Coturnix japonica: one gene and its partners. The main gene of each other region encodes a partner of the protein of the gene in region 3 in a complex. Links are inferred from orthologs where the notes say so. Each region holds a gene or a part of one and is shown on either strand. Other genes may lie near its edges.

Region 1 (4,271 bases), on a different chromosome or scaffold from region 3:
AGTTATTCATTGGTGCCTGCAGAAATCCGACGGAGCAAACCAGCTCCGTGCCCAGCCATCCCGTGCCGCTATTCCCAGGTCCCCGACCTGCAGCACACCCCCTCCCCCACCCCGCCATCGCAGCCCCATCGCTTGGCCCTACAGAGCCACAAACAAGCCAGGACAGCAAAGGGCCGAGGCGAGGAGCAGACAGGAGGAGGGAGGCAGCAGACAGACGAGGCGGTCAGGCAACACTCCCATCCATCGCCCCGTGAAGGTGCAGCATCCGCCGAGGGTGGGTGCGTTGACACAGTGGGGCCCCCGGAGACCCCCCGCCCCAGTGGGAGCATTTCCACACCATTCCCCACCCCAAGGAGGGATTTCCCATGGGGGATTTGGGACAGCCCGGCTTCCAGCCCCGCCTCGCCACCGGGCAGGACAAGTGGAGCATAAGGAGTAGCAGCAGAGGTGGGAGAAGCTGAGGGTGGGCAGCAGGCTGGGACCTCTGGGCAGGGGCACTGGGGAGGGGGCTGTGAGACCCAGCGTGTCTGTGTGCTGGCATGTGGCAGGCAGGGAGCTGTACACAGCTGTGCTGTCGCTGTCCCCATCCCTGTGACGCACCCCAGAGCACAGCACGCAGCATCCTGCTCCGTCCTACAGCTGCGTGGCCCTATGCACTCACTGCTATTGGGGATCTCATCTTGTGGGGGGCTGCAAAAAGAGTTGTGGGGTCCCCATCTCGCCGCCGGGGGAGGCAGAAGGACCCCAAAGCTGTGCTGATGGTCTCTATAGCAGTTGTTCACCCCCTGCTAACACTGCGGCTGCCTTTGGGGCGGAGCAATGCCACGGGAGGGAGAAAGCAGGGGGAAAACAGCCACCCTAAAAGCAAATCCTCACCCCTAAGGGCAAATCCCACACCCCTAAAAGCAGCAGCTGAAGGGTCTGACCCACTGCAGGCAGCCTTATGTTGGTCCTATGCCAGTAACTGCTGGTCCCATTGGTGATGTGGGGCCAATGTCCCTGCTCCCCCTGAAACCCCCTGTGCTGTGGGGCCCCGTACCTCCATTCCTAAGGTCAGAGCTGCACTCGGGTCCTGCTTCTCCCATGCTGAGGGCCATGGCTCTGGACATGGGCTGCACTTACACTAATCGCCCATGTCATTAGTGGGCCAGAGGAATCATGTAATTTATGGACAGCTTTTATTTCTCTCTAGCGTCATCTCCCTGTCCCCAAAATGGACCCTTTTAATTTCCTGGTAGCGTTTCTCCCCTCTGCCCAGTGCTGCCCATGTCACACCAGCAGCCACGTGCAGCCCCCTCCTCTCTCAGGGGCTCACAGCCCTCCTGAGCTCACAGATCAGGTCCTCACCTCCCTGTTCCTCTTTTTGGCATAGGAGGGGTGATGGAGACCAACTAAGGGACGATCACTGGGGATGTGCCACCGCCTGATATCAGACAACCTCAGGTCACATCTCACATTGTGGATGTCCCCAGGCCGTGCTGCAGCAGGATGCTTATCCCCAGCTGAGCTACTGAATTGGGGGTGAGAGTCCCCTCGATGGGTCAGTGGACAGGAAGGCCAATCTGCCAGCAGGCTTTGCTACAACCCTGCGTTCCTGGGGGAGCTGGCAGGCAGTGGCCTTGCTGGGATATGGGCTGGCTGCTGCAGGGGCTCCCAGTGACCCCATCCCTGGGTTTGTGCTTGGAGGCAAAGCCTGGCCCTGAAAGGTCTCAGCCTTGGAGAGCCTGGGGTCTATTTTTAACCTCGCTTCGATTTAAATCCATATGGACGTGTTAAAGTTACCGGAGAAACCGAAAGTTGTGTGTGGGTTCCAAGTTCCTACACAGCTCAAAAATATCTCCCCGCAGCGTGGTGGTGCAGGCAGCCGGCAGGGCGTCCCTGTGTAGGGCTGCTTATGGGGTGGGGGGGTCCTGTCCTGCCCACCCCCTCAGAACTCCCTGTGGAACAGGTCTGTAGGAGCATCATGGGGCCTGGGGCTGCCCGTGTCCCACTGCATTGAATCCAGAGAGTCTCAGCTCCATCGCAGCCCCGGTAAGTGGGAGCCCCACTGCCCAGCTGCTGACATTCTAAGAAGGGATAGGATCTGGCCAGATCCACAGGGAGCACGTGAGGAAGGAGGGGGGCATGAGGTGCAATGGGGAGAAAATGGGGTGGGATTGGGAAGACGGGCAGTTCCCGGCTGGGGGGTGAGGATGGAGTGGGATGGCACAGGGTTGCGGATGGGGTACGTGTGGCTTCTCTGCACTACGGCCATCCCAACGCTGGGGTAGGGCTGCTGCGCCCCGGGGAGCACCCAGGGGAGGAGCTCCGGGTGCCGCTGGGGGACCCGGCTCCCGGGGGACCCCGCTGCAGGGGCTCTGTCGCGAAACCCCGCTGTCCCAAGCGGAGATGCGGGAGGCAGGTTTAAAGGTGTCCGACAGAGACTGAAGCACCCGAACGCCCGTGGGGAAGATGAGGGTTTTTTCCCCACGGGGCTGCCAACCTCCGCGGGGAGCGATGCCCCCCTGGGCTGGGGCTGCCACTCTGCTCCGGGGCTCCGCTGGCGAAGCGTGGCGGCGGGGGACGGGGCTCGGCTGGGGCTGGAAGCGGACCGGGGCCGGGGCCGGGGTGGGGGGGAGCGGCGATCCCGAGCGGCTGCTGCACCTTCCGCGGGGGCGGCACTCACCCGTCAGCTGGTCGTAGGAGCCGTCCAGGTCCCGGGAGTCGGACAGGCTCTCCTTCCTGCCTTTGCTCCGCATCTTCTCCGAGGCGGCGGCGGGGGGGGGGAACCGCGACGGGGCGCACGGGCTCCGCCGCCGGGCAGGGGGTGCCCGCGGCCGCCGCCTCCCCCCACCCCGCGCGGCTGCGGGAAGGGGGCAGCGGTGCCGGAGCTCGGCTCGGCTCTGCTCTCAGGAGCGCGCCGCCGCCGCTACCGCCGCCGCCGCCGCCGGGGCTGGGCACGGCCGCCCCCTCCCTCCCGTCCTTCCCCGCCTCCTCTCCCCGGAGCCGCCGGCCCGGCCCCGCCGCCGCGGGGAAACTGAGGCACGGGGAGGGAGGGCTGCGGGAGGAGCCGCTGCGCTGAGGGTATTCGGGAGACCCCGGGGTCGGGGACTGCGCGGGGACGGGGCAGTCGGGGGAGCGCAGTGCCCTGCACGCCGCTGTGGGCACCCCCAGCCCCTTCCTTGGGACCCCCAGTAGGGAAGGTGGAGCCCTGGGGGACTCACTGTCTGGTGGAGAAGCTGGACTGCAACTGGGCAGTGGGGCGTGCGCGGCCAACCAAATGCGAAGGCGCAGCGAGGGCGGCCCGAGCCCACCAGGACCCCCGCCGTCCCCATCCCCGGCACGATCTGTCCCAGGATCCGCCCCACACCGCAGCCCCACAGACGGAGCAAAACAGCAGCACGGGGACGGGCGGCCCCCAGGGGCACAGGGAGGGCGGCCCACGGCCCCACGGCCACACTCGGCTCCGCTGCTGCCCCCGGTTATCGGCCGCCCTCCGTGTCCGAAGCCGTTCGGGGCGCGCTGAGAGCTGCGAAGACCCCACGACACAGCGATGTCCTGCGCCACGAGCGCGGCCTGGCTGCGTCTGCCAGCGTGTGCCACCCTGCGTGTCCCGTTCCCTGCAGGGAGATGGAGGGCGCAGCATCCCGCCCCGATCCCCGCACCCATCGCGGCCCGTGGGGACCGCGGGGCAGAAAGGGAGCGCGGAGCAGCTCGGAGGGAGGGCCGCGCTCACGCGGCAGCGTGTTGTCAGCGTGCTTTGGTGTCAAGCCACGAAAGCGGCCGCCTTAGCGAGGCAGCGATGCTTAGCAACTGCCTGCATCTAAAAATAAGAGCCATTTAGCGAAGAAAACGCGGCGGAGAAATGCTCGGAGAGCTGCTGGGGAAACACGCTCCCTCCTTGCGGCCGCGGAGCCGGAGAGGAACCCCCGGGACGCCTCCACCCGCCCCAGCTGCGGGTCCCGCAGCGCTGCGCTCGGCCGCTGCGTCGCATCCCCACCCTGAGCCCGGCAGGGGCTGGGGACCGGCTGCACCCCGGGGGGTGCCACGAATGGAGCATCGCCAGCTGCTCCCCATGGGCTCCAGCAGCCCGGGGGCGGCACTGCGGGCACGGCCGGCCCAGCGGCTCTGAGTGGGGAAGAGGTTCAACTTCTGCCATCCCTGGCCCTTTGGGAGGTGAATGTGGCTATTTTTATCCCTGCTCAGAGCTCCTGCAGCACAGTGAGAGATGCTGTGCCAGGATGAGAAAGGTGGGGGGCTTGTTGGGGGACACGGGCTGACGTGGGGCAGCC
Region 2 (3,551 bases), on a different chromosome or scaffold from region 3:
TGCCTACTGTGCATAATTACTCATTCCATTGAAACCATGATTTATAGGATAGAAAAGCTATAGCTGCCCTTTCAATTTAAACTTTAAATATTAAAGCTTCATGCACATTGCACCCACAGCAGCTGGAAGAAAACACGCTGCTTTCCTAATGACTTGACAAAGCCAGGATCGTGCCAGCACTGTCAATTAACACCAAGACCATCAGTGGGGTCTTACTGAAGGGCTGAACTCACAAGCTAAGTGCACTTTCATCATTATTCTTTCCCTCAAATGTATTGCCTCTGTACTGCAAAATAATTGCAGAACTGAAGTTGGGGGATTGGATAAACCCCAGGTCTGTTAAGAGCTGCAAGGCTCAGGTGCCTCTGGTTTGCATTAGGGGTGCTGACACAGCCTCTCCTTCTCAGCACGGTGTCCTGCACTGGGTTCCCATACACAGCAAGAAAGGTATGTCAGCAAGATAGGAGAACACAATGTTTAAGAATGCACTTAGTTCTGCTCCCCATTGTAGGGGGTTATATCATATTATACTATATATTAACCTATTGAGTCCTGTCTTAAAAGCTGTATGCTTTGTTATTGACCAGCCGGAGCACAAAAGAGGTTTCAGAAGGTTCATCTTCAGTGGTCAGACTGAGGTCCTCACGTGAAATGACTCCCTACATCCAGCAAAAGCTGCACAAGCACAACACACACAATAAGCCAAGATCCAGGCAGTTGTGCTGTGCTGGAGAAGTCAGATATGTGCAAGAGAGAGGATGCAACCAAATTTAAAGAATGCAAAAATAAGGAAGGACCTTTGCAGCATCCAACAGTTTTCCCTCAACAAGACTTGCACTTGAGGTGGCTCAATTTTCTTTCAGCCAATGGACTGGACCGTTTAAGAAGTTACAGTGTTTTGCTATGACAGTAGCTGAAATACTGCAGCAGTCCAACAGAGCAACTTAAAAACCACATGTCTTTTATTAAGCTGGCTCAATAACAATTCATTAATCATCATCAAAGCATTACCTGACACAAAACACCCGTATGACAAAACTCAGACCCTCAGGCAGTCGTGTAATGACTCTTCAACCTTCCAGACCCATAACACATCTGTTCCACATAACCTCAAAATCCCGTTTCTATTTAGTATGAGTCCCTGTTAGGCAGCAGCAGCACACCTACATGGTGAGGCTCACTGCCCTGTGGAGACCAATCCTACCAGGGGGAATTGGCTCAGGCTGAGGTTCATGAAGACCAGCACATTGCTGCTCCGTGCATGCAGTGTTGCTAGCTGGCACACTACCTTATTTCATCTAAACCTGTGGTTTCCTACACCCTCTCCCTGATACCCATTACCTTCTGAGGTCTGTTGGGCTCTTGCCTTGTTCTCTACTTACCCTGGACTCTGTAGTCCTAACTTGCTCCAGTAATATCCCACTTGAATAGCAAGAATTATCCAAGATAGGGAAAGGGGGAAAAAAAACAAACACCAAACCAAAAATCCCAGGGATCCCAAGCAAACAATACAAGTCAACCAGCAGCAAGAATTGAGCAAGCAAAAAATTAAATAAACATGAAAACATTTGCAGATTATCATAAAGTACAGGCACAGCTGAGGAATTTGCAGCACGCTTAGTGACATTTAGGGAGTAAATGTAATGAGCATGATGTGCTCATCCAATCCTCATTTTAAGCAGATGATGGGGACATCAATATGAGATGGAAAGGTAGATCGTGAGCTCATTTTGCTGTGGCAGAGGAGATATGGTGCAGAAATGCTGGTACGTAACAGGGGAACGATACAAAACGCAGCTGAGCAGTTGGGGCTGGTGGAGACATACATACTGGATTCAGTTCACTGCAGTGCTGTTCTTACATTTTTAAATCCTCTGTAAAGCACTTGAAGCTCTCTTTTAGTGAAATTGGTTTGTGCTTCAAGCTGCTCCAAGCCTTCGGGTCTGTGGCACACCGTAGTCATTTCTAATTCATCTTCAATTTTATCTAAAAGAGAAGACAGGAAGGTATTCATTTTGGCTGTTACCTTTGCTCTGTTAACGTGATGGGTAAGACAGATTGGATTTCAAGAGCAATAGAGGAAAAAAAACAGAAGCCATCAATAGAACTGGTCTTTATAACTGCTTTCAACCTCTCAAAAGCAAAATAAAAGCCAGGTGAGTAAAGCAATAGCTCATACTTCTTACTGGGGCTGCCAATTAGCCAAAAACTGATGGGGAGAACAGGATAGGCAGCAGACACATTGCTCTAAAAGGCAACACCAGATACTCTTAGCTAAATATTGAAATGACACTGAAAACAGGCCTTTCAAAGTACAGACCTGACAGAAAGCTGAGCAAATACAAGTAAGAGAGCAGTCATGCTTAAGCATATTAGACAACGACATTACACTGAGGGTACACAGTGAGGGAAACTCTTCTGTATGCCAGAGAAGGGCTTCCTACCTGGACACCAAAGGTCACGTTCAGCCCAAGGGAAATTCTAATTATGCCCACAGTTACTGAATCTGAATGAACCCAACCTGCATCTGCATGGGCTGGAAACTGATAAGCAGTGAAAAATAGTCATGTATTTTATTCAGGAGAACACCCTTCCACAAGGAAGAAAAGTATCTGAGATGTATCTCATGCTGGATTCTCGCAGCCTCACCTCTTCTCTGACTTCTCTTTTTACCTGTCAAGCCTGTTTCCCCAGCAGTGCAGGTAATGCCATAACAATACACTGGGGTTTAGTGAGTGTCAATTTGACATTATTTAAGCTTCAAATATCAGTGGCAGCTTTTAGCTGACATAACTCATAGAGTAGTTTGAACTGGGAGGGACCCTTAAAGGAGATCCAGTTCAACTCTCTGCAATGAACAGGGGCACCTACACTAGAGCAGGTGCTCAGAGCCCCATCCAGCCTGACCTCGAGTGCCACATCCAGCAGCTGTACCCCAAGTCTTTTTCTGCATGGCTATGCCCTGTAACATCCCATTTATTTCCGAAGATTGCTTGGCATAAAAGTTAGTAACTCCCCCCCCAAATCACCTTCAGTAAAATGGTCATCAACTGCTTCATTACCATGGACTGAGTGTATAATGTGCAGTATTACTGAAACAGATAAATTGGTGCCTTGAAAGAATCAATTTGAAGAAACACAATCTGCTCCAGCATTTCACTCTCTCCAGATCTTCCCACTTCATTGGACACGAGTGCATTAATCTGCCATGGTACAGAAAAAGTTGTTTCATTGGCAGTTTATCTTTAAAACACACCAGCAGGGTAACACACAGCAGGACAGCTCTGCAACATGGGCTGCTCCCAGGCAGGAATGTGCCCCAGCAGCAGAGCATGCAGTGGGGGGAGCCCTGCTGAACTCCCCTGCTGGCAGCGCACCTTCCAGCCATGCCTTAGAAAAACATCTCATCAATATTCTTCAGCTCCAACAACCCTTTTTGCACAAGCAGAACAGATTAAGCTGCCTGCAGACAAGGCTGAACTGTAGTTGTGTACTAAAAGGAAGAAAAAACTGCATGTCATTTAGCAGCTGGCTTTCTCAGCTGTGACTGT
Region 3 (3,551 bases):
TGGGACTGAGTCACGCTTTGTCGCTGAGCTCCCAGCTCTGCTCTGCTCGCTGTTTCTGGCCGTTCTGTTCTATGCTCTGAATGAAGCTCACTAACCCACCTCCAAAATTTAGGGTGTCAGCTGAAGAAACAGAACATTTCAAAGCTGACTCCCATGCTCTGTAGAAAATCAATTATTATAATGGCCCTGTTATTGACGGGTGTGTGGGCTGTCTTTCTCATGGGTGAGATGATGGCATAAATCTGGGACTGAGCATTCTCTTCGTCACCGTTTTCCCTCTTGGCAGCTCAGTGGCTGTTTCTTGTGCCTCTGGGAGTGGCGGTGGCTCCAGAACAGGCTGTTTCCAATGTGCCTCTATGAGCTATCTGCATCCTTCCTTGTGGCTGAAGCCCCTCTCAGCATCTCCATAGTTACCTTTGCATCCTCCTGCAGTCGTGGCTGTGTGTGCACAACCATCTCACAAGGATCTCTGTGCTCCAGAGTAATCTACCTCCATCTATTTCCTCTTGTCAACTTCTATCTGAAAAGATACGGCTTTTCCCTTGTCCTGCATCCCTTTCTTTGCTGCTATTGGCTGTATGATGGAACGCTTTAATTCACCAACCAGGCAATGAGTCCACTCCTCTGCCTCACCTCATTTGTACGTCTGCTTTTTGACAGCCAAAGTTTCAGCTTTCAGTCCTGTGTTGCAGTTGTTTTTGAGGGCTGCTCTGCCCTCAGTTTTGCCCAGGTTGCCCTTTTCTTGCCTAAACTGGGGGTTTCAGTTCTTCTCTGGGAAGGTATTGCTTAGGGGATGAAATAAGGCTTTCTCAAGGCTTCTGCAGTACAGTCCACACTCTTGTGGTGGCCTGGTTTGATTTTGCTCTTACCCCAAGGGAGGTTGAGTTTGCTCAAGCTGAGCACAGCAAGGGAGGCACCATCACTACCTGAGTTACAAAGTCATTCAATTGTCAAGCCCGTTAAGCATCAAATTCTCCTTTAAAACCAGAGGCTTTGACATTCAGTGAAGAACAGCATCACTTCAATGTCAGGAAGGTCTATTCTTAGCATGTCATTAAAAAAAAAGGGGAGAAAAAAAAAAGTCTTTGGGGGGAGAGAAAAAAAACCAACACAATTTTACCAAAGTGAACCTTGTCAGACATGATCAATTTGTCTCCCATTCAGAGTGACCTGGTCCTTGCTGCCTGCCAGAGAACAAACCTTGATGACACAGCGCAATAAATTAAGATTGCCAGATCTCCCCGTAATTAATTTTCTTGCAGTGCAGGTTTGGCAAGGAATAATTTACCTCTGAGCTGACTAAATCACTGGTGGTGGTGGTGGCTTTGTTTTGCTCTCTGTTCTTCCCCCTTTCTTTTCATGGCACCTTTCTCCTTGGCTGTTGTAACAGCCACCCCCCATCCCCTTATTCACACCTCAACCTTCAGCTCTCAGCACTGTGCCCCCTCCTCAGCTGGATGCTCTTTCAAGGCTTTTGTCTCAATTATTTCTCACTGGACAACTTCATTTGAGTTCATGCCAACAGCAGAATGATCCATAGCCTGGGCAGCCTTCAGAGTCGCTTGTCCCAGCTACGATTCTTGGAATCAGTGCTTTGGAAGAAGTTCAGTTTATAATAATTTTACAATCTAATCCTCAATTAAAGGAGAAAAAGGATTTATTTAGCACACTAGGAAGTGAGAAAAGATGTCTGTGCTACTTCTTCAAAGCTGTGTGTCCTCAACTCTGCTTATAACAAGCTGGGGGATGTATTCAAGGACTGAGAAAGCGCAATGAGCTGTATCCAGCCGTCCTGAAAAAGCCACATAAATGTCTTTGTGACTCTAATTAGATGGGGACAGAGTTCTAACTATTACTAAACTTCTATTCCCAAAGAAGAAATTTAATCACTGCAGGTTGGTGCTGGAACAAGGCTGTGTTACCAAAGCAGATTCTGCTCTCGCCTGTGTACGTCCTGACCATCCCTGGAGAGCCGGCCAGCCACGTGCTGCTGGTTTGTTGGCTCTCTTTAGTATTCATGCAGGGGAGTTCATGTGAAAATTAGTCACACTTCTGACTTGAGAAAACTTTCTCAGCCCAGAAATTAATCTGATATCAGGGGAATTAGAAATTCAAATGGGGGAAATAATACACTGCGGACCTTATAAAAGCTGCCATCAATCATATCGGCATCAGCCTCGGTGATACGTTTCTTTGCCATCAATTGGAACATGGTCCAATGAGTAAAGGAAAAAGTGAACTGGGATGCAGCTTCAGCATCCTGCCTGGCCAGGATGATGTTGGAGCTGCTTTGCAAGGTGATCCATGGTTGTGTGTGTGATGCAGCTGAGTGTCCTGGTGCGGCTGCTTACCTTCTGTGCCCGGCGCTTGTCGGCACGTTGGTTCTGGTGGTAGATGCGACTGAAGTTGGAGACAATGACAGGAACGGGCAGGGCGATGACCAGCACCCCACTCAGCGAGCAGATGGAGCCGAAGATCTTCCCAGCAATGGTCTTGGGCACCATGTCACCGTAGCTAGGGGGAAACACACACATATGGGAGGTTCTCCCTTCAGACCCATGTAATGGCTTTCCAGAGAGCCTTTCCAGGTTCTCTGAGCAGCAAGGTGAGCATCCTGATAGCAATGCTTAGACAAGCAACAAATCCCTCATGCTGTTGACCCAGGTTCTTTAGATTGCACGTAACACATAAGCACTGCTCTGCTAAGTGCTTTTTTTGGGGGTCTTTCTGCAGTTTGTGGCTTTTATTTTGCAAGTTACGAAAGTTTTCTGCAGGAGTTTTATACTTAAGCTTTAACATTGGCTCTAAGTAGAGAAAACCAATGTGCTTTGTCCATTGCACATTGCTGAGGTTCCACACCTCGCAGCCCAGCTCCTGATAACCAGGTGGGCACCAGAGGTTGGCAGTGCAGATGTTGCTACCCCAAACACCGCCAGTGCAATGGAAGCCTCCATTGGAGGCTCATTCTCCTCTGTAGTTTGTCCTCTCCAATTGGCTTCAAAGTTATCATCTGCAAATGGAAACCCATTCAGAAAGTGGAGGTGTGTTCTGATCGTGTAGCAAAAGGTTCCTTTGTAGCTGATGCTCCTAGAGTAAGGCACGAATGTGATTCTCACAGGCACTGACTGAGTTCACAGGCCTTGTTTCAGCGAGCCATTTAGGTGGTATTTTATTGTAAGATAAAAAAATAGATTTGGCACCAAAATGGCCACGTGCAAACCACCGGAGTGCATGAATTCCCACAGTGGCTCAGGAGGTCAGCACAGGAAACCCCATTGCAAGCACTGGTGAAGTTTTGTAGGAGACAGGAAAATGATGCTAGAAGTAAAGGCTGAGCCCTTCGAGGGGCAACAAGTGGTTTCTCTTTGCTATCAGATGGTGTTTGGGGTTTCTTTGGGATATTTTGGTGTTTGATGGAGCAAATATTGATAGTAAAGTGATTTATAGTCGGGCCTTTATTTTTCAGACATCACTTGTGTAAGCTAAATTATTCCAAGCAGGATCCTTCTGCATTCACCTGCCTTCACTGCACTCAAACCCCTCGCAATACC

Evidence for each region.
Region 1: the proteins of KCND3 (region 3) and KCNIP2 are in contact, whole or in part, in a cryo-EM structure (PDB 7W6S), measured with the Homo sapiens proteins. The link is inferred for Coturnix japonica from reciprocal best matches to the Homo sapiens genes KCND3 and KCNIP2. Residues at the interface, in NP_001365898.1 of Homo sapiens: Val5, Ala7, Trp8, Leu9, Phe11, Ala12, Arg13, Ala14, Ala15, Ala16, Ile17, Gly18, Trp19, Met20, Pro21, Val22, Ala23, Asn24, Cys25, Pro26, Met27, Pro28, Leu29, Ala30, Pro31, Asp33, Trp54, Arg60; in NP_775283.1 of Homo sapiens: Arg112, Gly113, Phe114, Asn116, Glu117, Cys118, Val123, Phe128, Ile131, Tyr132, Gln134, Phe135, Phe136, Tyr144, Leu148, Phe152, Phe165, Leu169, Ile172, Leu173, Arg180, Trp183, Ala184, Leu187, Tyr188, Met201, Met205, Ile208, Met211, His228.
Region 2: the proteins of KCND3 (region 3) and KCNIP1 are in contact, whole or in part, in a crystal structure (PDB 2NZ0), measured with the Homo sapiens proteins. The link is inferred for Coturnix japonica from reciprocal best matches to the Homo sapiens genes KCND3 and KCNIP1. Residues at the interface, in NP_001365898.1 of Homo sapiens: Ala6, Ala7, Trp8, Leu9, Pro10, Phe11, Ala12, Arg13, Ala14, Ala15, Ala16, Ile17, Gly18, Trp19, Pro21, Val22, Pro26, Met27, Pro28, Leu29, Ala30, Pro31, Lys34, Lys36, Arg37, Asp39, Trp54; in NP_001030009.1 of Homo sapiens: Leu67, Arg69, Gly70, Phe71, Glu74, Val80, Phe85, Ile88, Tyr89, Phe92, Phe93, Tyr101, Leu105, Phe109, Phe122, Ala125, Leu126, Leu129, Leu130, Leu138, Trp140, Thr141, Leu144, Tyr145, Ile161, Val162, Ile165, Tyr166, Met168, Met169.

The regions. Positions count from the first base shown.
Region 1 is NC_029521.1:19,802,886-19,807,156, reverse strand, and holds the start of KCNIP2 (Kv channel-interacting protein 2), read right to left. Parts: upstream 2,826-4,271; 5' UTR 2,739-2,825; coding exon 2,666-2,738; intron 1-2,665. UniProt on the Homo sapiens protein: Regulatory subunit of Kv4/D (Shal)-type voltage-gated rapidly inactivating A-type potassium channels. Modulates channel density, inactivation kinetics and rate of recovery from inactivation in a calcium-dependent and isoform-specific manner.
Region 2 is NC_029528.1:13,391,679-13,395,229, reverse strand, and holds part of KCNIP1 (Kv channel-interacting protein 1), read right to left. Parts: intron 1,987-3,551; coding exon 1,862-1,986; intron 1-1,861. UniProt on the Homo sapiens protein: Regulatory subunit of Kv4/D (Shal)-type voltage-gated rapidly inactivating A-type potassium channels. Regulates channel density, inactivation kinetics and rate of recovery from inactivation in a calcium-dependent and isoform-specific manner.
Region 3 is NC_029541.1:3,442,152-3,445,702, forward strand, and holds part of KCND3 (potassium voltage-gated channel subfamily D member 3), read right to left. Parts: intron 2,515-3,551; coding exon 2,352-2,514; intron 1-2,351. UniProt on the Homo sapiens protein: Pore-forming (alpha) subunit of voltage-gated A-type potassium channels that mediates transmembrane potassium transport in excitable membranes, in brain and heart. In cardiomyocytes, may generate the transient outward potassium current I(To).